7 linked regions of the Sus scrofa genome follow. The protein of the gene in region 4 interacts with the protein of the main gene of each other region in a pairwise test. Links are inferred from orthologs where the notes say so. Each region holds a gene or a part of one and is shown on either strand. Other genes may lie near its edges. The genes, in order: FSBP, LRRFIP2, PKP4, ATPAF2, SORBS2, PAK5 and LZTS2.

The links.
Region 1: the proteins of ATPAF2 (region 4) and FSBP interact in binary tests that used the Homo sapiens proteins (3 or more experiments, as listed by UniProt). The two-hybrid records come from large-scale screens. The link is inferred for Sus scrofa from reciprocal best matches to the Homo sapiens genes ATPAF2 and FSBP.
Region 2: the proteins of ATPAF2 (region 4) and LRRFIP2 interact in binary tests that used the Homo sapiens proteins (3 or more experiments, as listed by UniProt). The two-hybrid records come from large-scale screens. The link is inferred for Sus scrofa from reciprocal best matches to the Homo sapiens genes ATPAF2 and LRRFIP2.
Region 3: the proteins of ATPAF2 (region 4) and PKP4 interact in binary tests that used the Homo sapiens proteins (3 or more experiments, as listed by UniProt). The two-hybrid records come from large-scale screens. The link is inferred for Sus scrofa from reciprocal best matches to the Homo sapiens genes ATPAF2 and PKP4.
Region 5: the proteins of ATPAF2 (region 4) and SORBS2 interact in binary tests that used the Homo sapiens proteins (3 or more experiments, as listed by UniProt). The two-hybrid records come from large-scale screens. The link is inferred for Sus scrofa from reciprocal best matches to the Homo sapiens genes ATPAF2 and SORBS2.
Region 6: the proteins of ATPAF2 (region 4) and PAK5 interact in binary tests that used the Homo sapiens proteins (3 or more experiments, as listed by UniProt). The two-hybrid records come from large-scale screens. The link is inferred for Sus scrofa from reciprocal best matches to the Homo sapiens genes ATPAF2 and PAK5.
Region 7: the proteins of ATPAF2 (region 4) and LZTS2 interact in binary tests that used the Homo sapiens proteins (3 or more experiments, as listed by UniProt). The two-hybrid records come from large-scale screens. The link is inferred for Sus scrofa from reciprocal best matches to the Homo sapiens genes ATPAF2 and LZTS2.

What each region holds. Positions count from the first base shown.
Region 1 is NC_010446.5:42,301,953-42,306,249, reverse strand, and holds the start of FSBP (fibrinogen silencer-binding protein), read right to left. Parts: upstream 2,879-4,297; 5' UTR 478-2,878; coding exon 104-477; intron 1-103. UniProt on the Homo sapiens protein: Transcriptional repressor that down-regulates the expression of the fibrinogen gamma chain. Represses transcription of GSK3B gene promoter via its interaction with APBA1.
Region 2 is NC_010455.5:21,781,723-21,785,486, reverse strand, and holds part of LRRFIP2 (leucine-rich repeat flightless-interacting protein 2), read right to left. Parts: intron 625-3,764; coding exon 504-624; intron 1-503. UniProt on the Homo sapiens protein: May function as activator of the canonical Wnt signaling pathway, in association with DVL3, upstream of CTNNB1/beta-catenin.
Region 3 is NC_010457.5:65,619,751-65,623,514, reverse strand, and holds part of PKP4 (plakophilin-4), read right to left. Parts: intron 1,674-3,764; coding exon 1,121-1,673; intron 1-1,120. UniProt on the Homo sapiens protein: Plays a role as a regulator of Rho activity during cytokinesis. May play a role in junctional plaques.
Region 4 is NC_010454.4:60,616,314-60,620,582, reverse strand, and holds the start of ATPAF2 (ATP synthase mitochondrial F1 complex assembly factor 2), read right to left. Parts: upstream 2,942-4,269; 5' UTR 2,773-2,941; coding exon 2,640-2,772; intron 1-2,639. UniProt on the Homo sapiens protein: Plays a role in the assembly of the F1 component of the mitochondrial ATP synthase (ATPase).
Region 5 is NC_010457.5:46,724,485-46,728,684, reverse strand, and holds the start of SORBS2 (sorbin and SH3 domain-containing protein 2), read left to right. Parts: upstream 1-1,205; 5' UTR 1,206-1,261; intron 1,262-4,200. UniProt on the Homo sapiens protein: Adapter protein that plays a role in the assembling of signaling complexes, being a link between ABL kinases and actin cytoskeleton. Can form complex with ABL1 and CBL, thus promoting ubiquitination and degradation of ABL1.
Region 6 is NC_010459.5:18,481,825-18,485,588, forward strand, and holds part of PAK5 (serine/threonine-protein kinase PAK 5), read right to left. Parts: intron 2,464-3,764; coding exon 2,330-2,463; intron 1-2,329.
Region 7 is NC_010456.5:112,076,706-112,081,259, reverse strand, and holds the start of LZTS2 (leucine zipper putative tumor suppressor 2), read right to left. Parts: upstream 3,050-4,554; 5' UTR 2,610-3,049; intron 1,433-2,609; exon of another isoform or gene 290-1,432; intron 42-289; exon of another isoform or gene 1-41. UniProt on the Homo sapiens protein: Negative regulator of katanin-mediated microtubule severing and release from the centrosome. Required for central spindle formation and the completion of cytokinesis.

The sequences.
Region 1 (4,297 bases), on a different chromosome or scaffold from region 4:
CCTAGTGGGGATGCTTACTATGCATACCTCTATCACATCTAAGCCAGAACCCAATAGATAGGAGGCGCCATAATTTTCCACAACAAAATAAAATAAAGCTTACCTTTGTATGTGGTTCCTGTCTCTTACCAGGCAAAAACTGGAAATCTGGGGAATCATCTCCATAACTTTCTTGGTTGGCTCAGAAATATTGCTTTTAAAATCTGATTGGGTCTCTTTTTGCTGCAATAGCTCCTGTTTGGCATATTCTTTGAGCCTTTTGTAAAGAGTGCGTAGGCCCTGCGCTGTTCGAGGAGGGCGGTCTACTCCAATTGCATTATAGTTAACTGCTATGATATCCCAACATCTATTCTTTTCCACTATTACTGAATGTTTGTTAGTGTGTTCTTCCAGAATTTTAACATATGGCTTCACAAGCTTTAGCAAATCAAGCTTTTCAGGTAAGGTAAAATTGGAAGATCTAGCTTTTCCTACCATTGTTCTTTTCAAATTAAGTAGGCAGTTTCTGAAACCACCATGCAGCCTTCAGCTATGCTCAGCTCTTTTCACAAACAGAAAAAGATCAGGCTTAACTAGGCTAGCCTCATTTAGGCCCACGCCTACAGGGGAGGGTTTATTAAAATTCCTCCAGCTTAAGCTGACGCAGGTTCAGGAAATCTGCTTAAGCCAAGCCTGACCTACATAAAGCTTCTCACTGAAGAAGACAGGAAGGCACAAGCAAAACACACTTGTGTATAAAGAGAACAGCTCGAGATAGGATTCAATACACAAAGGTCTAGAGATAAGCATGGAGCACAGCTAAAAATTAGCTAATTTAGTGAGAATATCGAATTTCAACACGTTTGCCTAGCTGATTGACTGAAACTGCAGTGCAGTATCACTTTAATAAAAACAAAAGAGGAACTGTTTTGTGCTATTTGTTTATAAATCCAGTAGACAGAAAAATGAAAAACTAAAGATGTGAGTGGTGAATGTTAGTGATTCCTAACAGAGCCCCTAATCACTGTTTCTGAGCTGCTGTTCTCTCTTACAAAATCTGCATAATGCTGGTCCTGCTGTCAATCAGGAATTACATATCCTCTAGCTAGTTAGGTTACACCCAGCTCAGACTCCACAGTAAAGCTAAGCTTCTCCTTCATTTTACAGTCTACAGTAGCCACCGCGTTGTTTTCTTCAGTTACTTAAGAAATTTTTGTTGAACACTAAATCTAAAAAACAGATAAAAATTAGGGTTTTAAAGCAATGGATTATTCCAGCTGTAACGTACATAAATATGCTAGCCTGCTTTACCATGTATAAAAAAACACCATTCACAGTGAGAACAGCATAATAATGCCTTAAGACTGAATACAACAAAATCGCATTTGCTATTGTTGTAGAGGAGGATTTTTATTTAGCTATATTCACGCAATTTGGACTATGAAAGGAAACAGCTAGTTGTAGTCATTTGCAAGGCCACCAATTTATGTGCTTAGAGTATATGTTCTAATCCCTGTCTGAAAAAGTGATAAATAACAATGTAAAGAAATAAGCTTATTTTCTCCTGATATACGTGTTTGTCCGATAGGAGAATGAATTAGAACATACTTGAACACAGTTCCATTCAATCAAACAATTACTGAACCCCCATTAAAAATGTTCCCAAGTACTGAGCAAGGTCCAAGGAAAACAAGTGAATCTAGATACAGCCCTATCCAGAGAACTACAGTTCTACAGAAATGCCATAAATTTTCAATTGCCTTCTTTTTCGTTCTTTTAATGGAAGAGAATTAAATTTACTGAATTCTCACTATAAGCCAGACAATACGGTTAAGAGCTTTAAACGTGTTATCTGTCAGGGAAAAAAAAAGTGAAAGGTTGCTGGGAGCTCTATGGAATGCTAGGTGTTTTCTGACATACCCTACTAAGTAATCTCATTCTTTAGTAGTCCTAGCCTTTCATTGTTTTTGAGCAGTTTTTGTTGAGTAAAACTGTACAAAATAGTACTGTAAATGATTCCTGTCATAGAGATGCAAACTGAAAACTGACCTGCTCCAACAACCTAACCAGTTACTCAAAGGAAAACAAGAACACAGAATATATCCTGTCTTTAAATAACATTTTATTTTTGGAAGAAATATGGGCATTGTGTTAAGAATGAAATACTAATAGAAATATGAAAAAAGTTCAATCTCACTGTCAAGGAAATGTACACACCCTTAAGATCAGCAAAATTCTTAAAGACTGAAAATGTCTGGAGTGGATGAAGATGCAGAGCAAAAAATACTCTTGTGTACCGCTCACAGGAGTGTAAAATGGCATTTGGGATGGCAATTTAAGAGTATATATTAATAGTTTACATGTGTAAAAGCTTCTGAAATTGCAGTAATTTTACTTTTCAGAATCTACCTTGAAAAATACACACCAAACACCAACAAAGCCTTCTTGGCAGTTGCACATCAGTTGGGACAAGTTAAAGTCACTAGAGTATATCCACACTATGGTCTACTGTGGGCAGCATTAAAATAAAGAGGCAGATTTGCAGCATCATGGATGGATGGAGAGATTATCATACTAAATGAAGTAAGTCAGAAAGAGAAAGACAAATACCATATATTGCTTATATGTGGAATCTAAAATATGACACAAATGAATTTATCTATGATACAGAAACAGACTCACAGACATAGAGAACAGACTTGTGGTTGCCAAGAGGGAGGGGGAAGGGAGTGGGATGGTCTGGTTGTTTAGGGTTAGAAGATGCTAACTATTACAGAGAGAGTGGATAAACAAGGTCCTACTGTATAGCAGAGGGAACTATATTCAGTATCCTGTGATAAACCATAATGGAAAAGAATATGAAAAAGACATTGCAGATCAACTATACTTAAGTAAAATAAATAAAAATTTAAAAATTAAAGCAGATTTCTATGTATTGACAAGATCCAAAATACATAAGTGAAAAACAAGTAAAACAAAAATACATACAATCCCATTACGCTTACCAAAAAACACCCAAGGCCAAATATTTCTGTAGGTACGGAAAATACGTATGTAGCTACAGAATTCAGGTACATATGTATGAAAATGCACTCCAAAAAGATCTAAAACTCCACCAATTATAGGAGTCATGAGTCACATGTGCCTATCGAGCATTTTAAATGTGGTTACTGGGACTGAGAGATTAAATTTTTAATTTTATTCAATTTTAATTAAACAACATTTTTTAACTGAAGCAGCATATTTTTCCATTACCCACAACTTGTTTGCTTATGTAGAATCCTCCTACTCTTGACCCCTAACCAAATTCTTCATACACTTATCCTTAACACCTAACCAAGCTCCACTTAGTAATTTTCCACCCACTGACTCCCTTACCCTGCCTGTTGGCTATAAATCCCTGTTGTATTAGGAGTTGACTTCAATCTCTCTCCTTTATTGTAATAGTCTTGATTAAGTCTTCTTGCCTGTTTAACTTACCTGGTACAATTTTTCTTTGACATTACACATAGTCACATCACCATCACCTGTTTAAATTATTTTTTCCTATGCACTGATGTAACTTAAATGGATCACTCTGAATATTTTATTCAGACAGCACATATTATAGGCTACTCTTCATCAATTTTAATTGATTACTAACTGAATTATTCTGTCTTAATCATATGTTATTTTTCTAGCTGAAAAAATAAGAATTTTGTAATATAAAAAGTATACCATTTATACAGAATCAAATGCAGAGGCCAAAGTTACTACTCTTATTGGAACAATAAAGAAAAAGAGAATGGAATAAAGCATATGGCAAATGTTACACTGGACACCGAATGCAATCTGCTACAGCAGAACCACAGGAACAAGATATTTAATGAAAATAAAGAAAATAAACTAGACGATACTCAGAGACACTATCAACAAATACATAGTAAATATGACAGGCAGTTCCCTAAACAAATAAAAATTAATATTTAGTCACCTCAAATCAGAATTAAACATCCAGAATTTTTTTTTCTTTTAGGCCACACCCATGGCATATAGAAGTTTCCACCCTAGGGGTTGAATCGGAACTATAGCTGCCAGCCTCCAGAAATATATATATATATATTCTTTTTTTTTTTTTTTTGCTATTTCTTTGGGCCGCTCCTGCGGCATATGGAGGTTCCCAGGCTAGGGGTCAAATCGGAGCTGTAGCCACTGGCCTATGCCAGAGCCACAGCAACGTGGGATCCGAGCCACGTCTGCAACCTACACCACAGCTCACGGCAACGCCGGATCCTTAACCCACTGAGCAAGGGCAGGGATCAAACCCGCAACCTCATGG
Region 2 (3,764 bases), on a different chromosome or scaffold from region 4:
AGTTTATTTAAACTGAATAGGCTTACTTTGTGGCCTTGTTTTAAATTCTAATGTAGATGAATCGGGGTTAACACTACTGGGAAAATTCTCAAACTACTCAATAGTAGTGTGACTTCAAATATCCCCCTCCAATTATCTAAGATAATTCCATAGCAAAACATGTAATTAGGAAGGATGCTTACAGATGACACAGGGATGTGGAAAATGAGAGTGTCACGAAGTCACCATGTGCAAAGTGTTCTAGAAGTCACTTTGCCCAAAACGGGGGAGAGCAGTACCTCGTCACCCCTTGAAGCACAGTCCTCATCACCCCTGCAAACACACAGGCTAGAAGCAGCCTCTTCAGGTCCATGACTGATCAGGACGGCTGTTCTGGTCTGGCCAAGGACTGACCAATCTCAGAACATAGCTTGAGAAACGTGAGCCGTGGGATCTAGTGCCCGTTCGCACCCCACCTAGGACACAGCCCGCCCCACGTGGAGTGGTGCCCAGCCCAGTCCTACTCTGCATCTCGATGAACTGCAGGTCTGAGCCGTTCTGCAGTCCTGCAGGGTCACCCGCCACGCCATCGTTCCTGGAGCACTTCTGCTGCTCTTCTTCCAACTGCAGCTTCAGTTTTCTAACCTGAAGAGGAAGTAAAGGCTCACCAGTGAGATCCAGTCTCTCAAATGAAACTGATGCTCAGCCCAGTGGCCACATCTTAGAGCAAGGCCGCATGTATTCCTTCAGAAGCTGTTTTCTGCAGGGCCTGCCATGCGGGACACTACTCAGTTGCTGGAGAGCAGCTACGAACAGATTATCAAAAGAGGCTCCAGGACTGGGGGTCCCAAAGCAAACAGCCATGTTTTGTTATTTGTGGAAAAACACATCTTCTGTGTATTTTTTTGTTGTTATTTTTATTAAAAATGGAAAATCCCATGGGCAGTTAGATGTTTCAGAGTTAGGTTAAATATTCTTATTTAGAAAACTGTATAGAGAAATAATTGGAAATATATTTTTGAGTTTGGCTATGTAATCTACCTTATTTTACCCAAAATAAAGGCCATTCATAGCAGTATTCATTAATAGCCAACACAAGAAATGTCCATCAACAGAGGGATGTGCAAACTGTGGTGCAAATATGCAACGGAATCACTACTCAGTAGAAGAGAATGTGCTACCAATACATGCAGCAACATGGTCAATCTCAAACTAAATCTATGCTGCGTGAAAAACCCCAGAAAATGCAAACTGAAGGGACAGAAAGCAGATCAGCAGTTGCCTGGAGAAGGGGAGGGAGGTGGGAGAGAAAGGAAGGTATACAAAGAAACACAGGAACTTGGGGAGTTACAGATATTTTCACCGTCTTGATTGTGGTGATGGTTTTACAGGCTCTGCCACAGGTTAAACTGTTGTCCCCTCCTATGTAGCAGTCCTAACCCCCAGGACCTCAGAATGTGACCTTATTTGGAAACGGTCACTGCAAGTGCACTTAGCTGAGAAGAAGTCGTACTGGAACAGGGTGGGCCTCTAGTCCAGTATGACTGGTGTTCTTAGAAGAATACCATCTGAAGATATGGTATATACACAGGGAAGGCATGTATAGACACCGAGGATGCCACCAGAAGCTAGAAGAGAGGCGTTCTCTAGCTGACTTCCCATCACAGGCCTCAGAGGAAACTCACGCTGATAACACAGGACTGTGGGCATCCCATCTCCAGACTGTGAGACAGTACATTTCTGTTCTATGCCAGCTGGTCTGTGGTGCTTTGTTATGGCAGCCCAAATACGGGTATGGACATCTGTACACTTTAAGTATGTGCAGCTGATTTTATGCCAATTATTACCTAATAAAGGTTTTTTTTTTTTTTTAATTTACAAAATAAACTAAAACATAACATTAGGAAGGACACTGGGTTGGAATAAAAGAAGGCCCAGTCAGAGGCAGGAGTCCCACATGTGGAAAATAAGGTGAGATGAACAGAGACGAACCGCATGCTGAGGCCTCTGGTCCACCCTCAGTGCGCACGCTGCGTGCAGCTGGGCCTATAGCTTCAGGCAGAAGACAGAGCTCTCTAGAATTCTGACTAGACTAAAATAAAAGACAATATGCTCACATTGAAGGTTCCTGACAAAAACATCAGCCTCATCAATCTTCACAGAAACTTGAATGAGCCCCACCCACAAACTCAGAGCTGCCCACCAGCTTTTTAGTATTCTACTTTCAAAGTGAAGACAAAAAAAATACATAAAACAGCATGTAGAAGGAAACAAACTATGCAGATAGAAAAAAAGAATTAAGAAGCAAACCAACCAGCCCATCAATATCCTATGAGATATATGAAAATATCTGAATCATTGAAATGACTGCAGAAATTGAAACCCAACAGAAATGAGAAGATAAAAATCTTTTAGAAAGCAGAACAAAAGAGATGAAAGGGGACAGAAAAACAGGAAAGAAGAGTAAGAAAGTGAGAGTATATGTCTCAAGGACTAAACCACTCCTCCAACAGAAATCAAAGCCCCAAATGCCAACAACTCAACTTCAGAGATGCAGGAAGCAGCACAAACCAGAGCAAGTCTGCCCTCTCCTACAGGGGAGGATCATTAACCCATTATACCACAGTGGGAACTCCTGTGATTTCCTTCTTTAAAAGAAAAAGATGGGAGTTCCCGTCGTGGCGCAGTGGTTAACGAATCTGACTAGGAACCATGAGGTTGCGGGTTCGGTCCCTGCCCTTGCTCAGTGGGTTAACGATCCGGCATTGCTGTGAGCTGTGGTGTAGGTTGCAGACACGGCTCGGATCCCGCGTTGCTGTGGCTCTGGCGTAGGCCGGTGGCTACAGCTCCAATTCAACCCCTAGCCTGGGAACCTCCATATGCCTCGGGAGCGGCCCAAGAAATAACAAAAAGACAAAAAAAAAAAAAAAATTAAAATTAAATAAATAAATAAATAAAAGAAAAAGATGAATGACAATGATTACAACAAAGAATTCTAAACCCACACCAAACTATTTATCACGTAAGAAGGTAAAATGAAGACATTTTTAGTCCTGCAAAGTACAGCCCCCAAACTTTTTCCTCAGGAAGCTACTGGGGGATGAACCAAAACAAGAGAATGAAAAAAGGAGGAAGGGAGTTCCCGTCGTGGTGCAGTGGTTAACGAATCCGACTAGGAACCATGAGGTTGCGGGTTCGGTCCCTGCCCTTGCTCAGTGGGTTAATGATCCAGCGTTGCCGTGAGCTGTGGTGTAGGTTGCAGACGCGGCTCGGATCTTGCGTTGCTGTGGCTCTGGTGTAGGCCGGTGGCTGCATCTCCAATTCGACCCCTAGCCTGGGAACTTCCATATGCCGCGGGAGCGGCCCAAGAAATAGCTAAAAAGACAAAAAAAAAAAAAAAAAAAAAAAAAGAAAAAAGGAGGAAGGCATAAGACACTGCCAAAGGGAAGCTAGCCCAAACCACGGCCGTGGGTCAAGGAAACAAGAGATGACAGTGCAGAGTGGTCACAAGGGAGTAGCCATTAAGCTCAGAGGGGATGAGTCAGATGCTCCAAGAACCAAAAAGAGGGAGCTGAGGGAATACTTGGTGCATCTGAAAACATTCAACCACTGCTGGAGTCTGCCGCCAGATTGGGAACAGAGAACATAAGAAATCAAGCAAATGAAGAGAAAACTCACAATACAAACTTTAGGGGAAGAAAGGAAAGGTGAAGGAGATGAAAGGTGATCCTAGGACACTCCATGGCTCCACTGGAAGCAGTGTGTACAAAGTCCTAATAATGTAA
Region 3 (3,764 bases), on a different chromosome or scaffold from region 4:
GGTTGATGTTTTTCTAATTTAATCCAAGTGACATACGAAGATAAACTGTAAGAACTTGGTGCGTTTCCCATCAGGATGCTAAAAATCAAGGCAGTAGGTAAGGAAATCCACATTTTAGTCTGCACTATTAAGGCATTTAAAAAAACATTTTTTTTTTTTTTCCTTTGAGGGTTGCACCTGAAGAAAATGGAAGTGCCTGGTTTAGGGGTTGAATTGGAGCTGCAGCTGCCAGCCTCCACCACAGCCACAGCAACATAAGATTCAAGCCATGTCTATGACCTACACCACAGCTCACGCAATGCTGAATCCTTGATTCACTGAGCAAGGGCAGGAATCAAAATTGCATCCTTACTATGGACACTAGTCAAGTTTGTAACCCACTCAGCCACAATGTGAACTTCTAAAAAAAAAAAAAAAAAAAAATTTGAACAGACATTCTTCTTCTTCTTTTTTGGGGGGGTCTTTTTAGGACTGCACTTGTGGCACATGGAGGGTCCCAGGCTAGGGGTTGAGGAGTTACAGCCGTTGGCCCACGCCACAACCACAGCAACACCAGATCTCAGCTGCATCTGCGACCTACACCACAGCTCATGGCAAGGCCGGATCCTTAACCCACTGAGTGAGGCCAGGGATCAAATCTGTGTCCTCATGGATACTAATCAGATTCATTTTCACTGAGCCATAATGGGAACTCCTTGAACAGGCATTCTGACGACACCTTTTAACATAACTTATTGGTTTGGGTATGGGTAGGCCTAGCTAGTGAGAAATATTTCACTATGAAAAACTTCAACAAACAGTTTACAACTCCAACCAATTCTTCTAAAATGCAAAAAAAAAAAGTACCTTGTATATCCTAATATTATAGGGGAAGGGGTACATATATTCATTGTAAAAGAAGTCTGATGATATAAATAAATATATATGTATATATAATTAGATGCATTAAAAATTAGAAAGTCTGAAAGACAAGTCAGCCTAAGGTCTGCAGTATAAATTCTGAGATAAAAATATAAGCTTTTCCCACATTACGGCGATGTGGAAGCCTTTTCTATTTCAGAGAGGCCTCACAGAAGATTTCCCCACTGGGCTGTGTGCAGTGCTGTCACCTTGTACTCACCTGTCAGGCTGTCTGGCCGAGGTGGAACCATCCTCTCGTAAATGTCATACTGCTGCTGTCCGAATTGTTCCATGTCATGAACAGTCCTCTGCAGGGAAGGTCCCAGATGCTGTGGTACGGCGGTCATCCCTGAGCGTTTGGGGGATGATGACCCCACCTGGCCTTGGGATGGGGAAGCTACTCGAGTCTGTGCATCCGTAAGGGTCAGCGGGGACCCCACTCTGGTGGTGGTTTGGTACTGAGGGGTTGGTCCGTTGGGGTTGGAGGTCTGCCGGGAGGTGACTGACCCAATCCGACGTACAGCTGATGGGGAGGCGGGTCTCTGTGCAGAGTACGGAGAGGCTGCCCGCTGAGCAGGTAGCGTGGTGGAGGAGTACGCACTGGGGTTCAGTGGTCGGGAGTCGGTCACTGATGGAGAGCCAAAGCCACCACCCAGAGAAGTTCTCAGTGACCCCCTTGAAGGAGACACGCCTGTGCTGATAACATAAGAAGGAGACTGTGCTCTAGATGGAACTGAACTAACTCTTCTCATGGCCCGATTGGCTACTGATGGCTGATGAAAGGGGGAAAAAAGAGAATGGGTTTATCCAGGGTTTTGTCTCCATTGTCATTACAGAAAAAAATGCACACAGCTCACTACAGAATGTGCACTCACTATTTAGTTTAGGCTTCTAAGTTTCTTTTCCTTTCTATGCTTTAGAGCTGGATCTTAATTTTTCCTTATTCTTTTTTTTTTTGGTGATTAAACCCTTACGTTCTCCCTTCGGCATACTAAAACCAACCAGTAAAGAGAGATCTAAAGACAGTTAACATTCCTTTTACGTTTGTCTTTACATTTTTTAACCCTCTGCCTATTCATTCTCCACAACACACAATATGTTGTATTGCAAGTGTGAAGGGTCACTGGAGCAGTATACTTATGTGGTGCCTGTGAGTTAAAGTTTGGCGAAGATAATGCATTTGTGTAAAACAAACAAACAAAAAATGTTTTCAATACGTTAATCTAAATATAGTGAGAGGAGTATCTATAATTGTCTTTAGAACTGTCTTCATGGATTGGCCCCCATTAACAAAAGGAATGTACTCTTTCAAAGTGGAGTAACTGAATGTTTGGATAGGGCCTGGGGTGCAGTACTCTTCTCTGTCAATTTACTCTCAAGGGACAACTTGGGTGCACAGGCGCTTTAGCCAATCTGTCTCTTCTTTTAGCTCAAGTGTGGCTGCTAGTGATTTCAGCCGTTTCTACATCCTTTGATTTATAAGCTTTTAATTTTAGCTGGTGGATTTAAAGAGACGCATGTCAAGGTGCCCTCAAATTTGTTCCAGCAAAAGGAATGCTCAAAATCTCGGCTGGGTTCTTGGCCTAGCCAGCTGGAAAAGACCATACTGGGAAATGAAGAACATTTCTGCCATGACTGGTCCTTTTTTGAATCTGTAGACTCTTCCAGACTGAGTCTCAGATCCTTTCCTTGATGCAGCAGAATAATGAATGGTGGCTGGACTGGGGCACTGGTCTGATGGGACCAGGCAGGGACATGGACTCTAGGACTGGGTGGCTTGGTATCTCCCCAGTGACTGCTACAGTACAGGTGTCATCAACCCCACTTTTAGCCGGGGTAAGAAAGGAAGAAACAGGGATAACTTAAGGACTCTCTTTGTGTCCAGGTGTCAGAAGCAGCTGGCTGGCTGAAACACCTGCTCTAAGACCACTTGTGTGCTCAAACTCAACAATTCTGGGAAGGCAATAGCTGTGGAGATCTGGGGAGGGGACTGTAAATACACAACAAGAAAGAGGGGGTATAAAAATTAGTAGACCATTGGAAAAAGAACTGCTTTTGGGGTTTACTAATAGTGCAAAAGGTGATTTTTAAAAAATTCCACATATTAGCTGTTTACTATCAAAAATGGGATGACACTTGGCCCAGATACTTAGAAATTGTGATGCCAAGACTATATGCAAAAGCAGTTTTATTGCAAAAGCAGTTTTAAAGACCCTCTTGCAATCTTCAGCTCCAGGAACAAAATCATCTTGCTGTAAGTAAAAAAAAAATTAAATAAAAAGGTAACATGACCATTTTTAGGGACAAAATGGATAATCTCTATAGTTAATTAGTATTCAGAAACGTGACTTTAGACCTGCTGATGCAGAAAATTCACCTAAGCACATGAACTCCTGTAAGGACTTAGTCCAAAGCTTCCCGAACTCTTCCATCAGAAGAGTAAATGTACCTCTGAGGAACAGTGGTGCTGGGGTGGGATAGTGGAAGTAGGGGAGGTGGTGGAAGTAGGGGAGGTGGTGGGGCGTGGTACAGCTAGAAGTAGTTTGCTAGGGGTACAGGATTTCCTATCTTAGCTTAAGAACTCATGTATCATATTTGCATTTGCTTTAATACAGAAACGCTTCTTAATGCTTAAAAATTTCCCTTAAACTGTTGGGCCAAAGTTATACTGTGTTTCTCCTTTGGCACTGGGAATCCTGGCCCACTGCTGTGTGTACCTTCAGGGCTTCCTATATTGTACTAAGAGAAGCTTAGTGTTTGCCTAATTTTTTTGATCATCTTGCCACTTTTCTGCTCCAGAGAAATCGCTAGGGTACTTGGACAGACAGTCATCCTCACTGGTTACTGCTAGTTGGGACTCGTAG
Region 4 (4,269 bases):
GGCGGGTTCTAGGTGCCCAGCACTCGCCCTCCTCCTCCCTGCTGAACCCCTGCCCATCTGTCAAGACTGAGCTTGATCTCCCCTCACCCGAGACCCTTTCTGGACCCTCAACACCACGAGAAGGGAGCAGGTGTTCTCTGTACACTCCTCTTCAAAGGCCCGGAGAGGCTCTGGTCCCAGCAGGATGTTACGACCTTCCGCACTTGACAGTGAACACCCTCTAGGTGGAGGCCGCCTCTCTCCTGAAGGCCTCGGTGCCTCCTGCCCTCAGCACAGAAACACTAAGCCAAGGGAAGAAGAATGTGTCTCTCACTCCAGGGAGTGGCTCCCGGGGAAGGACTGGAGCGCCCCTTCTCTCATGAAAACAAAATGACAGCCAAATGCTGAACAACCTTCAACCAAACGAACTGGAACCTCTCAAAAAGATACCCTCCTCCAGAAGACAAAGAAGAGGCCACGTCGCGGGGCAGGAGGGGCGATTACGTCATATAAGCAACCCCATCCCTCCCGGGTGGGAAGCTCCACAGACTGGAAAGTAACTATCACAGAGACTCACCTATGGGGGTGAGTTCTGACCCCCGCGTCAGTTCCCCACGCCTGGGGATCTGGCACTGGGAGAAAGAGCCCCTGGAGCATCTGGCCTTGAAGGCCAGTGGGGCTTGTGCATAGGACCGGGGGAAACGGAGACCCCATTCTTGAAAGGCGCACACAGGCTTTCATGTGTACTGGGTCCCAGGGCAATGCAAAGGCTCCATAGGAATCTGGATGGGACCTGGCTGCAGTTCTTGGAGGATCTCCTGGGAAAACAGGGGGTGACTGTGGTTCATGGTGGGGGAAGGACATTGCAGGCAAAGGTCTCCAGAATATTCAACGGCATTTGTTCCTCTAGATGTGGCCACTTGGGGAAAATCTGGCCTCACCCATCAGCCCCAGGCCAAACAATAATCCAGGTGGGATCACAGCCCCAACCATAAAGACCCCCCAGGCACACAGCCACCTCTAATCTTGCCCAGAGGCAAAGCCCCACCCACCAAAGTGAAAAGAATCGGCCCCACCTACCAGTGGGCAGGCACCAGTCCCTCCCCTCAGGAAGCGCAAGGCAAGCCCCTGTACCAACTTCAGCCACAAGGGGGGGGGGCAGACATCAGAAGTAAGAGAGGCTACAGCAAAAAAAGACACCACACCAAAAACCTATAAAAATGAAAAGGCAGAGAATTATAATTCAGATAAGAGAGAAAGAAAAAACTCCAGAAAAACAGCTAAAGGATCTGGAGATTATCAGCCTCTAGGAAAAATTCTTTAGACTGATGATGCTGAATATGATGCAAGACATTGGAAATAAACTGAAGGGAAAGACTGATAATTTACAGCAAACATTGAGCAAAAAGTACAAGATTTAAAACTTAAGCAAGCACACATGCAAAATACAATAACTGAGATCAAAGATTCATTAGAAGCAACCAACAGCAGAATGCAGGAGGCAGAAGAACAAATAAACGAGATGGAGGGCAGACTAGTGGAAATCACTGATGTGGAACAGAAAAGAGAAAAAATATCGAAAAGAAATGAAGACAGTCTAAGAGAACTCTGGGACAATGTTAAACACACCAACATCCATATTATAGGGTTGCCAGAAGGAAAAGAGAAAGGAACAGAAAAAATATTTGAAGATATAATAGCCGAAAACTTTCCTAACATGGGAAAGGAACCACTCCCTCAAATCCAGGAAGCACAAGGAGTACCATATAAAATAAACCCAAGGAGGAACACCCCAAGACATGTACTCCTCAAACTGACTAAAATTAAAGCCAAAGAGAAAATAATGAAAGCAGCTAAGGAAAAGAAACAAATAACATATAAGGGAACCCCGATAAGGTTATTAACAGATTTTTCAGCAGAAACTCTGCAGGCCAGAAGGGAGTGGCACGATATACTTAAAGTGATGAAAGGAAAAAACCTCCAACCAAGATTACTTTACCCAGCAAGGCTTTCATTCAGGTTTGAAGGAGAAATCAAAAGCTCTACAGATAAGCAAAAGCTAAGAGAAATCAGCACCACTAAACCAGCTTTACAACAAAGGCTAAAGGAAATCACCTCTGCTCTTACCCTAAAACCCTCTCCCCAGAAGCAATGAAAGAGCCACTACCTTTTAAGCTTCAGAGTCGCAAGTGTAGGAAGAAGGCACGGAGTGTCAACTCCCTAGTAGAGATAGCAGGGGTTGTGGGAGGGCAGTAGGAGGAAGGGCCAGACATCTGCGGACAAAGTGGCCGGGATGGACGACTGAAAGCCTGGGCTCTGGGCTCCTTCAGTGCCAGGGTCGCAGGGACACAGAAAGCCCGGCAGACCCGGCCCTTGCCTCACAAACCTCTCAGAGAGTCTGCTCTGTGACCTTGGCGCGATCCTGACCGAGAATCCTAATATCCCCTGTCGGAGAACAGGAATGACATCTGCTTCCCTAAGAGAAGGGACGAAAGCCGCAGTGCAAAAGCAAACGACTGTCTCCAGCCGCGACGCGCGTGTGCCCTGGGGCGGTCCCTGCCCTTGGGGCGGGGGACTTTCCCCCCGACCTATGACCCTGCTCTGCCACACCGCCCTGCACTGCCCACCCCTCAGCCCGGCTCGGACCTGGCCTCCCTCACCTGCCGGGGGCGCGTACGCCCGGGCGGGGGTCGGGGGACTGGGCCCCCGCCCCTCGGAGGCGATGAGGCCACCCCGGGGCCGGTTCAGGAGGCGGCGTCCCCCGTCCCGCAGCCGGAGGCAGGTCCTCCACATCGCGCGGGGACCTGGGAGGACGACCGCGCAAGATCTGAGGGCAGGACACACGGGACGTAGCGACCTCGCCGCGCACTCGGGACACACGCAGCTTCTCACCGGCCGCCGGCGTCCTCAGCATCCCTGGGCGCCGCCATGTTGTGCACGACACTCGCGGCGCGCCGTCGCCGCGCTCCCCCGCACGCCGCAGCCAATCAGCATCACAAACGCCTCGGCCCCGCCCCCGCACCGCACCTCCGGAAGAAGACTACAAGTCCCAGAGAGCCTCGGCGCCTGCCACGTGCTGTCTCCGCCCGCCAATGGGCGGAAGCGCAGTGCCAGCCTGCTCCCGCCCCACGGCGCGCCCAAGCCAATCGGAAGGGGTGTGTGTGCGAGCGCAGGCGGGGAGGGGGCTCGCTCAGGACCCGGAGGCCCCGCTCGCAGGTCCCGGGGTCCCGGTGGCGGCCGGAGCGCTCGGTCCGCAGGCGGCGGGCAGGTGGACCCCTCCCGCCCCACGCGCGCGCTGGCCTGCCCCCGGCCGCCCTCCTCGGCTCCCGCGCGGCGGCGGCGGCGGTTCCTCCCCCTCCCCCAACCCTGGCTCCGGGGGACCCCGCGATGCCGGTCCGCACCGAGTGTCCCCCGCCGGCCGGTGCCTCGGCCGCTTCGGCCGCCTCGCTCATCCCGCCGCCGCCCATCAACACCCAGCAGCCCGGCGTGGCTACTAGTCTGCTCTACAGCGGCTCCAAGTTCCGCGGCCACCAGAAGAGCAAGGGGAACTCGTACGACGTGGAGGTGGTGCTGCAGGTGAGTGCCGGGGCCGGGCCTCTCGCGGCGCCCACGGGCCGGGCCTCGCCGCCGCCGCCTCGAGCCCGCGGCCGCCGACAGGCCTTCGGTCGGCCTCCCCCGCCCCGGCCTGCCCGGAGCCCCACCGGGCCCAAGCCGGCAATCGGCCGCCTCAGACCCGGCCCTTCTTCCCTGTGGCCTGTCGCCCCAGGACCAGCTCTTCCTCCAGCCCCTCTCCGACCCTGTCGAGCTCTCCAGTGGCTTCCCCTGATTCGGGACCCTCCCAGACCCGAGGCGTGCCTCCTCGCCACGCTTTCCTCGTCCCCCCGGGAAGCCTCAGGCCCTGGGGCCCGCCTCCTCCTGCTGGGATTTCCTCCTTGTCAGAGCTTAGTCAGCCGCCTCCCTCCGTCGTCCCCTGAGCCCGAGACCCCCCCCCCCCCAGCCCACCCTGGTTCCTGCCCCACCCCTCAGGCCGGGCCCTCTGAGTCTGTTGGGAGCTGGCCTGGGAGCCTCTTCCTGGCCAGGCCTCCTGCCCAGGCTTCTCAGAGTCCCTTCCCCGGTTCCCTGGCCACTTCCAGTCCACTCCCAGTCTCTCTGGCCTGTCTGCCCAGACCTCCCCGTCCGGTATCTGTGTTCTCCTCCTTCCTGGTTCCAGCAGACCTGCTTTCTGTCTTCTTGGCTTTTATCTACACAGCCAGGACCTCCTCCAGGTCTCTGATACCCAAGTACTGGGAA
Region 5 (4,200 bases), on a different chromosome or scaffold from region 4:
ACTTGGGGATATTCAGGGGGAATGGTTGCATATGAGTGTGCAGTTTGCCTTTTTCCCTTGTTTTCAGAATGGTTCCACTTAGGAAACAAGCTTTTTTCCCAAATTTGCCGATGTCTGCAAATAGTATTCTGCCCAGAAGGGAAGAAAAGAGCTAGTATGATTCATTTGAAGCAAATCTCCAAGAATATCAAAATGGAGTATTTATGGCTGTGAGAGGATTGATTTATCTGCAGAAACAGGTACCACTTCTCCCCCTAAAACCAGGGTCATCCCTTGAAATAGGCTGGCTGGGCAACTGCCTCCTGAAAAAGAGATGAGGACCTCTGACCAGCTCCCACCAGCCCCCAAGTAGCTCCCCACACCCCGTGAGCCTCGCATCCTAGCTGGTCCGAAATTCCTGCCCATGGGGTCAATCCTATGTTTCAAAAATACAGATAACCTGCTTAAAATGAATTTACCTGTGAGAGGAAAGTGTGTGCAACTTCCGTTAGCCTCTTTTAGGGACCTTAAATGGTCAGGTAAGCTCCTGCACCCCTTTTAAGGATGGAAGTAGTCCAGAGGCGATTTTCAATTCGTGCAAAGCGTCTGGCCGACAGAGGTTTAAACTGTAAAGAAAGGACCAGAGCTGGGAGAAAGGACCCTTTGAGGAGGGGGGCCTGATGGGGCCTCCGTGCAGGAGGAGTTGGCTGTGGGCAGAGGGATGGTAGCCTGGCACTTGGTGACGGTGGTGGGCCTAGAAAAGCAAAGAGGAGACGGAATAGTGGGTATAAACCCTACAAACACTATAGTCTTGGCCTACTCATTCTATGAAAATGTGGTGATGAAGCTTTGTTGGAGAAAGTTTGTTTTCAAGAAAAAGCGCAAAGAAAGTAGGAACGAATTAGCAAAACAACGCAGGGTTGCCAAAGCCACGCTGCCTGCTTCAGCCCACCTGAGACCCACCTGAAAATACCCCCAATCTACCCAATTCTATTTAATTCTGACGGTTAACTGCAGTATGCAACACACCAAAAATAATGACAACTCTTTGCACAGTTTCCTTTTTGCAGTTGTTTCTTGCAGAAGTACAGTCCAACTCAGTCAAAGAGTGTATATATGATGCTAAAGTTAAGTTTTCCTCAGTTTGATTTCATTGCTGTTTTGGTTGTTTTTGTGATTGCGGTGCCAATCCCGCCCACTTATTTACTGTAACGTTTCTTTTCTAGAGCCAGAATAGGACAGACTCATATACCATTCTGATCTGGGTGCATTTCTTCAGAAGGTACGCTGTGCTCATGGGAACCGCGGCTGCCTGGGGCTAACGAGGCCAGGCGGGAATCAAGGCATGTGTTTTAACAAAATGTTTTCCCAGGGAAGTCAAGGAAATAAAATGATGGGCGCCAAAGAATACGAGGCTCCTCTAACCTCCCCTTGACATCCATTCCTATCCTGTCCCAGCGGAATTTCTGGTGAGATTCCGCAGACATGCCCTTGATTTGCGCTGATTTAAAGGAGGCCAGGGGGGAAATCGGAGGAAGTGAGGCAGGGAAAGGCCAGATGGGTGGTTTTAGAATTCTTTACTCTGCATTATTTTAGAACGAAATATTTTGGCTGGAGGGTCTTAGGAAATCTGTGAGGAAACTAGAACCAGGCCCCACCCTTGTCCTAAAAATCCTCCCACCTGCTGCTTCTCAGTTACAGGCAGGCCCTATAGTCCTATTTGCTATAGCGAGTGGAAGCTTCTTGCTCACTGACACTTCATGGGGTACAGGGAAGTCTCTTATCACCACGAACACCCCTGATGGCAGGACTGCTGTGGGCCTCCAAGCCATGTGCCCATGTGGAATTTTCCCTGGCTCTCCACCTGGCTCAACTAGGCTCCAGTGGTGGACAGGACAGCAAAGCCCTCACCTGGATGTCACTGTCTGTGGCTTCAGGCTGGTTGGATTGCTTCACCTGCCAATGCCCAGGCTTCTTGACCCTCTTTGTTTCTGAAGTCACCCTGGCCAGATGTGATCTGGATTGGACTCCACCATATGTTGTTCATCTAGCTCATCACAGAGGAATCTACCCAAACCTACCCCCTTCCCCTTGGAAACCTTGAGTAGTTCTCTTACCCCTTCAAGGCAAATTGTTGCAACCTTGGATTGCAAAAGAAGAGATGCCTAAAGGGTACCTTGTAGTCCTTGTACTCATTTCCTGGCATTGCCTGAACAAAGAGCAACAAACTGAGTGGCTTAAAACAAAATAAATCGATTGTCTGGCAGTTCTGAGGCTAGATGTCTGAATTCAAGATGTTAGCAGGGTCACACTGCTTTAAAAGCTCTAGGGAAGAATGCTTCCTTGCCTCTTCCCTGCTCCTGGTGGTTGCCAGAAATCTTTGGCATTGCTTGGCTAATGGCAGCATCACTCCAATCTCTGCTTCTGTTGTCACGTGGTAGTGCTCCTTTTTGTTGTGCATGTGTCTCCAGATCTCTCTCTACTCATAAGGACATCAGTCATTGGATTTGGGACCCACTCTATTCCTCTGTGCTTCATCCTAACTTGATTACATCTGCAAGGACCTTACTTCCACATGAGGTCACTTTCCTAAGTGCTGGAACTAGGATTTCAACATATGATTCTGGGGACACTGCTTACCCTACAATCGCCACTACTGGGCATGGGTCATCTCTGAGCAAGAGGCAGCTTCCATGTGTGCATCCCAAATTTGAAGCACACACTTCAGTCCCCAGATTCAGCACTCACCCTCTGCAGGGGCCATGCAGGGCCGTGGCCTGAGTTCTTACCGCCCAGACTGGCCCACCTGGTCCAGGCTATTTCTGAGTGAGGTCAGAGCATGGAGGACTAATCACCCCTCACTATCATTCAGGCACTTTGGTCCATGTGAACTTTAAACCCACAAGTTTCTTTTTCCTAAGTACTATGACCATCCTATAATAGATCATTCATATATATATATATATATATATATATATATATATAATGATTTTTATTTTTTCATTATAGTTGGTTTACAGTGTTCATTCTTTTTTTCACATTCTTTCTGTCACACTTGGATGCTCTTCCGATCCACACACAGTATTGAGATTATCTTCCAAGGGAATGAGTTTTCCTAAAAGCTCATGGGTTCCCTTGATTGTTCTGAATTTAGAGATTTGCAGAATACCCTGGAGTTACTTATTCCTAAACAGACAATTTATAAGCTCATCAATCTCCATTGAACTTCCCATTTTCTACTCATAGATAACTTTTAAAAGGAAACTTTGACTTCCTCAACTGTAAATTGGGTTGGTTTTAAATGCACATATTTTTCAAGAAAGCAGATCACATATCAGATTGTGGAATTTACTATCCACAATTTACCATAATAATCTGTGTGATATTTTTTAGTCCTCCATCTTCACACTAATTTGACTGTATATCCAAAAAGAGACAGAGACAGAGTCAGAATGAGAGAGAGAAAGTCCACTTTCTAAGTCAGTGCTTAGTCACTGCATCTGACTTTGTGTTAAGACAAAGAGAATCCTACTGAAAAAGTAAATACCAAGAGGCTTAGTTAGGTATGACAGTGCAAGACATTTTATAAATATTTTGATACACAGATACGAGAGAAAGTAATTTATGAGATGGTTATTTTGCATTATGCTATGTTCAAAGCCAATTGAAATTCCTCATTTGCATTAACCATCTGAGCTGTTTTCCACTTGGAAGAATGTTCTAGTCTGCGTTCCAGGTCCTTCCATATTAGGTGGGTAGCATTAGAGCCTCTGTATTTGAATCTGTTCAGATGAGACTGTGTATCAAAATAAGTTCTACGTATAGATAAAGTAAGGTTTTAAATTAACCAATGGGATTGAGTTTTTTTAATCCCTAGCCATTTAAAGAATATGAATACTTGACCATGTAAAAAAGATACAAAAGAGTGAGGAGCATGAGTCATTTTTCCCCAATAGAAGGAAATGACCGTTCAGTGATTTTCATAGGAAAAGTATTCAGTAAGCAGATAACATCAGTTATTTAAAAAATATCAACATGACACTTTATCAGTAACAATGGAATTTGGGTAGAACACTGATGGGCAGTAAGGTCAGGGCAAAGCCCCTTCCAGGTTTCAAGATGGTCCCTACTTGCTCACCTGTTTCGGCAGGCAGGCAGTTGCCTGGGTGCCCAGCTCCAAAGTTGGGCAGAATTTAAAGCCTGGACCTCCTCAAGTCCATG
Region 6 (3,764 bases), on a different chromosome or scaffold from region 4:
TGCAGCAACACCAGATCTTTTAACCTACTGCACCCAGCCAGGGATCAAACCTGTGTCCTGATGCTGCAGAGATGCCGCTGATCCTGCTGTGCCACGAAGGGAAAAATCCATGTATTTATTTCTAATCTGTGACTTCCTTGAATGTATATATCTGAGCCTTACCCATTTGTTATCTTTTGTATTACCAGCATTTAGGAAAGTGCCTGGCACATAAAAAACGATCAATAAATACTTGATGAAATGACCACAACTGGAATACCAGGGAAGCAAGTAGCTGAGGCAACAGTGGTAATTAACCACTGTTCTCTGCAAGAAGACTTAAAAACAGAATTGAAGAATTTCTCTCTTCTGTTGTTGTGACATAAAACTTTGATCTTTCGCCTGCCCCTGCCTTCCATAGGTACCCTCAGTGCTATCAACACACAGCAAAGGAATAGTGACTCAGGAGAACGAAACTGAGTTTTAGAAATCTGTGTAGGGATGGGAAATTCTATTATTTTTCACTGAAAATTCATTCTCAGCAGCTTGCTGATTTAAAATTAATGGGTATCTGACAAAACTGTACTTCAAAAAGGTACATGTACCCCTATGTATAGAGCAGCACAATTTACAATAGCTGAGACATGGAAGCAACCTAAATGTCCACTGACAGATGAATGAATTAAGAAGATGTGATATATACACACAATGGAGTACTACTCAGTCATAAAAGGGAACAAAATAATGCCATTTGCAGCAACATGGCTGAAACTGGAGACTCATACTAAGTGAAGTAAGTCAGAAAAAAGAAAGACAAATACAATATGATATCACTTATACCTGGAATCTAATATATGGCACAAATGAACCTATATACAGAAAAGAAACAAACTCATGTACTTGGAAAATAGACTTGTGGTTGCTAAGGAGGAGAGGGAGGGAGTGGGAATGGACTGGGAATTTGGGGTTAGTAGATGCAAACTGTTGCATTTGGAGTGGATAATCAATGAAATCCTGCTGTACAGCTCAGGGAACTATATCTAGTCACTTGTGATGGAACATGATGGAGGATAATGTGAGAAAAAGAATGTATATATGTGTGTGTGAGAGAGAGATAGAGACTGGGTCACTTTGCTGTAGAGCAGAAATTGACAGAACTCTGCAAATCAACTATAATAGAAAAAACAAAAACCTTAAAAAATAAAATAAAACCAATGGGTATCTGACAAAACTGTAATTCAAAAAGGTATATGCAGCCCTATGTTTATAGCAGCACTATTCACAATAGCCAAGACATGGAAGCAACTTATATGTCCATTGACAGATGAATGCATTAAGAGGATGTGGTACATATACACAATGGAATATTACTCAACCATACAAAAGAACAAAATAATGCCATTTGCAGCAACATGGATGTAACTAGAGATTCTACTAAGTGAAGTAAGCCAGACAGAGAAAGACAAATACCATGTGATATTACTTATATGTGGAATCTAAAAAATGGCATATGGGAGTTCCCATTGCGGCTCAGCAATAATGAACCCAACTAGTATCCATGAGTGGGTTAAGGATCTGGCATTGCTGTGAGCTTTGGTATAGGTCACAGATGTGGCTCAGATCCTGCATTGCTATGGCTGTGGTGTAGGCCAGCAGCTACAGCTTTGATTTGAGCCCTAGTCTGTGAACTTCCATATGCCTTGGGTACAGCCCTAAAAAGACAACAAATAAGTAAATAAATAAATGGCACAAATGAACCTACCTACAAAACAGAAACAGACTCACAGACGTAAAGAACAGACTGGTGGTTGCCAAGGGAGTGAGGGGATGGAGTGGGAGTTTGGGGCTAGTAGGTGAAAACTATTACATTTAGAATAGAGAAGCAATGAGGTGCTACTGTATGGTCCAGGGAACTATATCCAGTGTCTTGGGATAGACCATGATGGAAGATATATAAGAAAGAGAATGTACATATATATGTAGGACTGGGTCACTTTGCTGTACAGCAGAAATTGGCACAACACTGTAAATCAACTATACTTTAATAAAAAAATAGAGTCATATTGATAGAGAAAAAATAAAATGTATTATCAAAACAATTAAAAAATAAAAGTAATCAATGGGCATCAATGAATTTTTGGAGGGTGAGGAGATATAAATGGAATGAATGAACTATACACACATGATATTATAATGGGCACCTGAAGAATACAGAGGAAAAGGATAGTCATGTCTCTGCCTTCAAAGTGCTTACAAGTTATGGAGTGTCCATCAAGAGAGTCACTGAAGCCCACCCCAGAGGAGACAAATAAGACCTTGAATGATCTGTCTGGATAATATAGAAACTTACCTGGTATGAGTAACGATGTCTGTCAAGGCACCGCCTTCTAAAAATTCCATGACCACCCAGAGCTCATCACTGACAAGGTAGCTGTTGTACATGTCAACCACGTTGTCATGGTGATAATCCCGCATTATCACAACCTGGGCAAAATGGAAAGATAGTGTTTGACTTGGGACAGTGAAATTTGGCTTTTTCTTTTCTCATGGCTCCACTTGGGCTGTGAATTCGATTGATGGAGAAGCACGGATTTTGGGGGAGGGTTTTTTTTTTTTTTTTCTTTCAGAAGTCTATTACAGATGATGGGACAGCTTTGAGAGTAGCTAGCAGGATCCGAGGGAATCAAGTTTGTAAATTCAGAGAAGGTGGTAGGTCCACCAGACATTGGGTTGAGGGGAGAACAAGGAGAGAAAGCAGGCAGAACCATGGCAAGGTGTACATTCACGAGAGGGAGTGTAGTTGACCATTCTTGGGAATGTGGTTAGCTAGCCCAAGGGTTGCCTTTTAAAATACACTGTTCAGGGGAGTTTCCATTGTGGCACTGAGGAAACGAATCTGACTAGTAACCATGAGGTTGTGGGTTCAATCCCTTGCCCTGCTCAGTGGGTTAAGGATCCTGCATTGCTGTGAGCTGTGGTATAGGTCACAGATGCAGCTAGGACCCTGCATTGCTGTGGCTGTGGCGTAGGCCAGCAGCTGTAGCTCTGATTCAACCCCTAGCGTGGGAACCTCCATATGCTGCAAGTGCAGCCCTAAAAAGCAAAAAATAAACATTAAAAAGTTAAAATAAAATGCACTGTCCAGAGTTAAGGATCTAGTGTTGCTGTGAGCTGTGGTATAGCTCGGATTTTGCGTTGCTGTGGCTGTGGCGTGCGTTGGCAGCTATAGCTCTGGTTAGATCCTTAGCCTGGGAACTTATATATGCCGCAAGTGCACCCTAAAAAGAAAAAAAATGCACTGTCAATACTCTGCTAATGGTTAACTGGGGAAAAGGTCATCAGCTCAAGGATAATGAGTCTCACAAATGAACAAGGTAAACAGTTATTAGGGCTGGAGCCATATGGGACCACTTGAACTTCTTGGGAGGACTGGGGTTGAGTCTGAGAGAGGTTTGGGCTGAACAAAAACAATAAGTCTTACAGGTAAAACCATTATGACTTAGCATAAAAAGGCCAAATTGTGTTTGCTTGCTGGAGAGAACGTCCAGGAATTGCTGTCCTATGGCTGCTTCTGGTGACATTTTTAGAATGAGTGTTAAATAATAAATTATACAGTTTGACTATATTATATTTGCCCTATCTGTTTGGGAACTGTGATGTGGAAATAAGATCCAGAAATCAGGAACTGGGGACTGGAAGAAGCTGAAGCCCATTTACCCGGTCCACAGTTCCTAAAGACCCAGTCCACAGTTCCTGAAGGCTCCTCATGAGATATGGAGTAGGGA
Region 7 (4,554 bases), on a different chromosome or scaffold from region 4:
CCCGGCCCGGCCCGGCCCCGCCTCCGCAGCGCCCCCGGCCCGGCCCGGCCCGGCCTGGCCCGGCCCCCGCCCGGCTCGAGTGGGCGGCGCAACGCTGGGGAGGGTCTGGGGGCGACCCCGCCCCCGGGGCGCGGACACGCGCAGGCACCCCGCGTCACGCGTGTCCGGCGGGCAACACGCAGGAGCTGCGCGGCGGGACTCAGGCTCCCTCCTTCCGAGGGCCAGTGTCTGGGGTCTCGGTCGGCTCAGGATTAGGCGGCGGCGGCGGCAGGTCACCCTCTACCCCTACCCGGGCCCCGGGGCCAGCGGCAGCTGGTCATTGTTCGAGCACAAAGGGCCAGGCGCCGAGGCGGCCGCCCTTCCCCCTTCTCTTGTCTCGTCGATGCCTCTTCCCCCAGACACACTCTCCAGCTTCGGAGTCCAGAGGGGGCGGCGGAGGGTCAGTTGCCCCCGATTCGGGGCCCTGCGCCCCAGCACAAGTCGGGGGCCAAGGCTTGGTGGGTGTCTGCCCCACCCGCAGCCGGTTGGAGGAGGCACGCTTGGATTTGTGGAGGTGGCGCCACCTGGCGGCCCATTCGGAGAACACACTCGGTCACCGCCAACCTTGGGGGACCTTACCCTAGAAAGCCTAGGCCTTTCCCCAGCGCGGCTCAGTGCTCCCCAGCCTTCCCTCAGAGTCATTTCCTAAGAGAGAGGCCACTGATCCGAGAGAAGCAGCCCCTGGGCCCAACAGTCACTGAGGTGAGCCCATCCAAGCCTACAGGCCAAACCTACACAGCCGCGTAGCACACAACATCCCACTGTCTTCTCAGGGTCACGGATATTCTCAGCTCGGCAAACAAAACAGTCTTAACACCCACACGACCTTTCCCACAGTCTCACACAGCCACAATCATACAGTCTTTTTCATCACGAGGTTCCATGTCTCTTCTTCCCATAATCTTTCAGGCCAACACACAGAGACATTCGTTTCACATGCCTAGTTGTACACAGGCTTTCACAGCTCGAAGTCCTTCGCACCCAGTCACAATCTTAAATACACTTAGTCTCCTAAGCATTTTTCACACACTGACAGTCTTATTCACAGTCAAAAAACGTCTTCTTACATGTACACAACGTATTTCACAAACATTTTATCACACAGACTTTCCCGTAGGGTCTCTGTGACCCAGTCAGGTCAGCTGATGCCCACACGGCTGTACAAGGACAGCCTCCAGGCCCCTAACTCCGCCCCATCCAGGGCCAAGGCCTGCCACAGCTCCTCTACCCCAGGAAGGAGCATCTCCCCCCCTTCCAGGCCACAGCCCTGGCAGGCTCTCAGCTCTATTTTTAGCTCTATGGAAAGGATTGTTTTTCTTTCTTTTTCCCTGGAAAGGGAAACAGCTCAGCCACCCGCAGGCTCACCCTAGACCCTCTGCTCACAAGAACAGACTGAGTCCCACTCCGGTAGAGACCCCCCCCCCCTCTTCTGGCCTTGCCCTGATCCCAGCCTCCTGGGGCACTAGGAGCCGCCTCCCCTTTCTGGCAGCCAGCCCAGAAGCTCAGGCAGCAGCTGGGCTCAGCGTGCGTGTAGGGGTGGGGGGTGGGGTGAGGAAGGAGGCCGAGGGCCGATGCCCACTTTCATGCCCTGGGGGGAGGGGGCTGTCTTCCCTTCTACGGGAGGGAGACAGGCCCTCTCTGGTGTTGAGATGTGCACGCTCCTGCATTCTCTGGGGAAGGGGGACTCCCACTCTTGCATGCGTGGGCTTTCTGTTCCTACATTGCAAGGAGGAGCTCCTAGCTCTGCAGGGAGGGGTGGTAGTAGGAAGGGCACCCACAGGCGCTGCCGTAGCTGCTCCCTTGGCTGCTATACGCTGCCATCCAGAATATCGCCCCCACGCCCCCAATATCTTCAGGGATGGGGCACCATGTTGGGGAGAAGGAAGGGCGAAGAGCCCAGGTAACCCCAGGCCAGACCAACAGCCTCCTGTTCTCCTTCGCTAACCCGACTCCAGGGGGCGTTGTGTTCTCCTTCCGGGGGAGGTGGAGAATGGACTACAGCCCGGCCAGGTACCTTGCAAGCCCGTCCTGCACCGGGGCGGGCGGTTCCCGCCCTGAGGCCCGGGTGGGGGGAGCACAGCCCACAGGTCTGCGCTACGATCACGTGCTCGGCTCCTGTTTACGTCTTAGTCTTCACCTGCGGGCTGCCGGAAAGCAGGAACCTCTGGAGTTGTCCCACCCGGCCCGCCCCCGTCGGCGGTCCCTGGGTCTTTCCTCCCACCCCTGTCAAGTACGCGGCAGCAGCGCGCCTTGCCCGCTGGGGGTCCCGCGGGCCAGTGGCGTTGTTCCAGGGACGGCAGGCACAGCTCACTGGGCGCGTCCTCTTTAGGGTGCACGTGTGTTCGTCTGTCTCAGGTGCGCGCGTGGGTCTGTGTGTACGCGTGTTTGGACCCGTGAGTGTGAGGTTCCGTGTAGGTTCCCTGTTCACACTCTTCGCTTGTGCCTCCTGCACTGGGGACTCCCCTCCTCACTCCAACCCCCAACCTTCCAAGACCGGTAAAGTTCGCTCCGGCGCGGGGCTGTGCAGGAGCTAGAGTTCCGACACCTCCGCGGCCCCACCACGCACTCACCTAGGGCCACCTGCGCCGCCGCTCCAGCTCCCCTCCCGGCTCCTGCTCCAGCGCCAGCACCTCCTCGCCGCAGATCGGCCGGCTCCCAAGCCCGCTCCGGGCTGCGGACTCCCAGCGCCCGTCCGGCCGGGCCTGGAGGAGCGGGGCGGGGCGGCTGAGGCCGCGCCCCCGACCCCGACAGGGGAGTGGTCTGCGCAGCACCCCCTCAACAACCGACCCAGTGCCCAGCCCAGATGTGGCTCGATGGTGGCCCAGGACTGCTCCTCTGGCCTCTGACTTCACACCTTACAGCATTTGTCTTTCAGCTCGGGGAAGGGGCCAGTGGCACGTGACAGCTAAGCTGGCTGGCTGTCCTAACCAAGTCGGCTGTAGGGCTTTACAGCCACCTTCCTCAGCGCTTTAGGGAGCCCATCCTGGTCCATGCTCAGCCCAGTCCCCAGATGGGGAAAACCCCTGGGAAGCAGACAAAGAAGGCTCGGGTTTCACCAAAACAGACCCCGCCTTCCTCACACACACACACCTCGGCGTTGGGGCTGCCCTTGAGGACCAGCACCTCCCCCTCCCCGAGTAGGTGTCGGCCCAGGTGAGCCGGCCTGCCGGTTTGGGCCCCCACAGAGTATGGCCACGCTTCTCCTAGACTCGTAAAAGTTCCACCCACAGGCACAAACAGGAAGTTGACCTGTACTGCAGGGAGGAACCAAGGGCTCCCTCCCTCCATGGCACCCAAAGTGGCCTTTGTGAGGGCAGACTGTGCTGTCTACAGGTATCTGGGCTGTATTTGCAGCCTGAGCCCTGGGTAGCCGGAGTCTTGTGAGTTTAGTCCCTTCTCAAATGCAAGATGGAGAACCAAAGCTGCCCCCACACAGCTAAGTGTGACAATGAGTCTGAAGACAGCAGACAGCGCTGCAGATCCAGGGACCCTGTTCTGTCAGGCTCTTCCTCAGCTCTCAGGAAGGTTCTAAATGTCCAACTGGGCACATGGAATGCTGGTTCTAGCCCAGGTGATTTGCCTCAATCCACTTTGGCTGAGTACAGGGACAGGGAGTCCCAGGGACCTTACCCAGGAACTAGGGATTACCTGCCACTTTCTAGGCTGCAGTTACTCCGGAACATACTTCTGGCTAATTCTGATGCTAGGAGCTTAAGACAGGTGTGGAATGGAATGTGCTTGTGTACGGGGTGGGGCTGGGGGAGAATTAGCTTCCCCTCCCCCGAGCTGGTTTGTGCAGTGTGGTGGTGTCTGCTAGGAGGGTGGGGCAAGCCGGGCAAGTGTGTATCTATTCCTCTATAGCCAGTTCACACAGACACCTCGCAAAAGTTCCCTAATGGAAACTCCTAAAGTATTTCCTGAGAACACACCAGGCATTCTAGGGAGACCAGACCAACACCTTTCTAGGTAGCATTGATCTGGTGGGGTGCATCTGGAAGGCATGGCTGATGTTCAGTGTTGTAGCCCCTGGATGAGGCCTAGACCAGCCAGCGGCTGGGAATGATTACTGTGGGATTAGGAGAGCTGGCTCCAGCCAGTCTGGGAGAGACCCCCAAGAAGGGAGGCCCTGGAGGATCTCCCCCCTCCCCCCCAGGGAATGGCTTTGCTCCAGGGTCTGTTTCAGAAGACAACTGCAGTCACAGTTCTCACACACCACAGACCAGAGACCCCAGACCATCCATCCCACAGGGGTCCAGAGCCTCCTCTCAGGTTACAGGGAGACCTTGATAAGGCAGCCCTGCTTCCAGGGAGCAGGAAACCTCCCCCAACCCCCTCTACAAAAGGTTTCTCCCCAGCCCCTTTAAAACAGCTTGCATTCTCACCACTTCTGCAGGCAAATCTAAAAGGAAACGGGCACTTCGGGATATCAGAGGAAATGAAATGGAAAAGTGTCATTATTTAGGAATATTTGTCAGGGTCTCTGGATAAATTATCGTCTAATTTCTTTCAGGACTT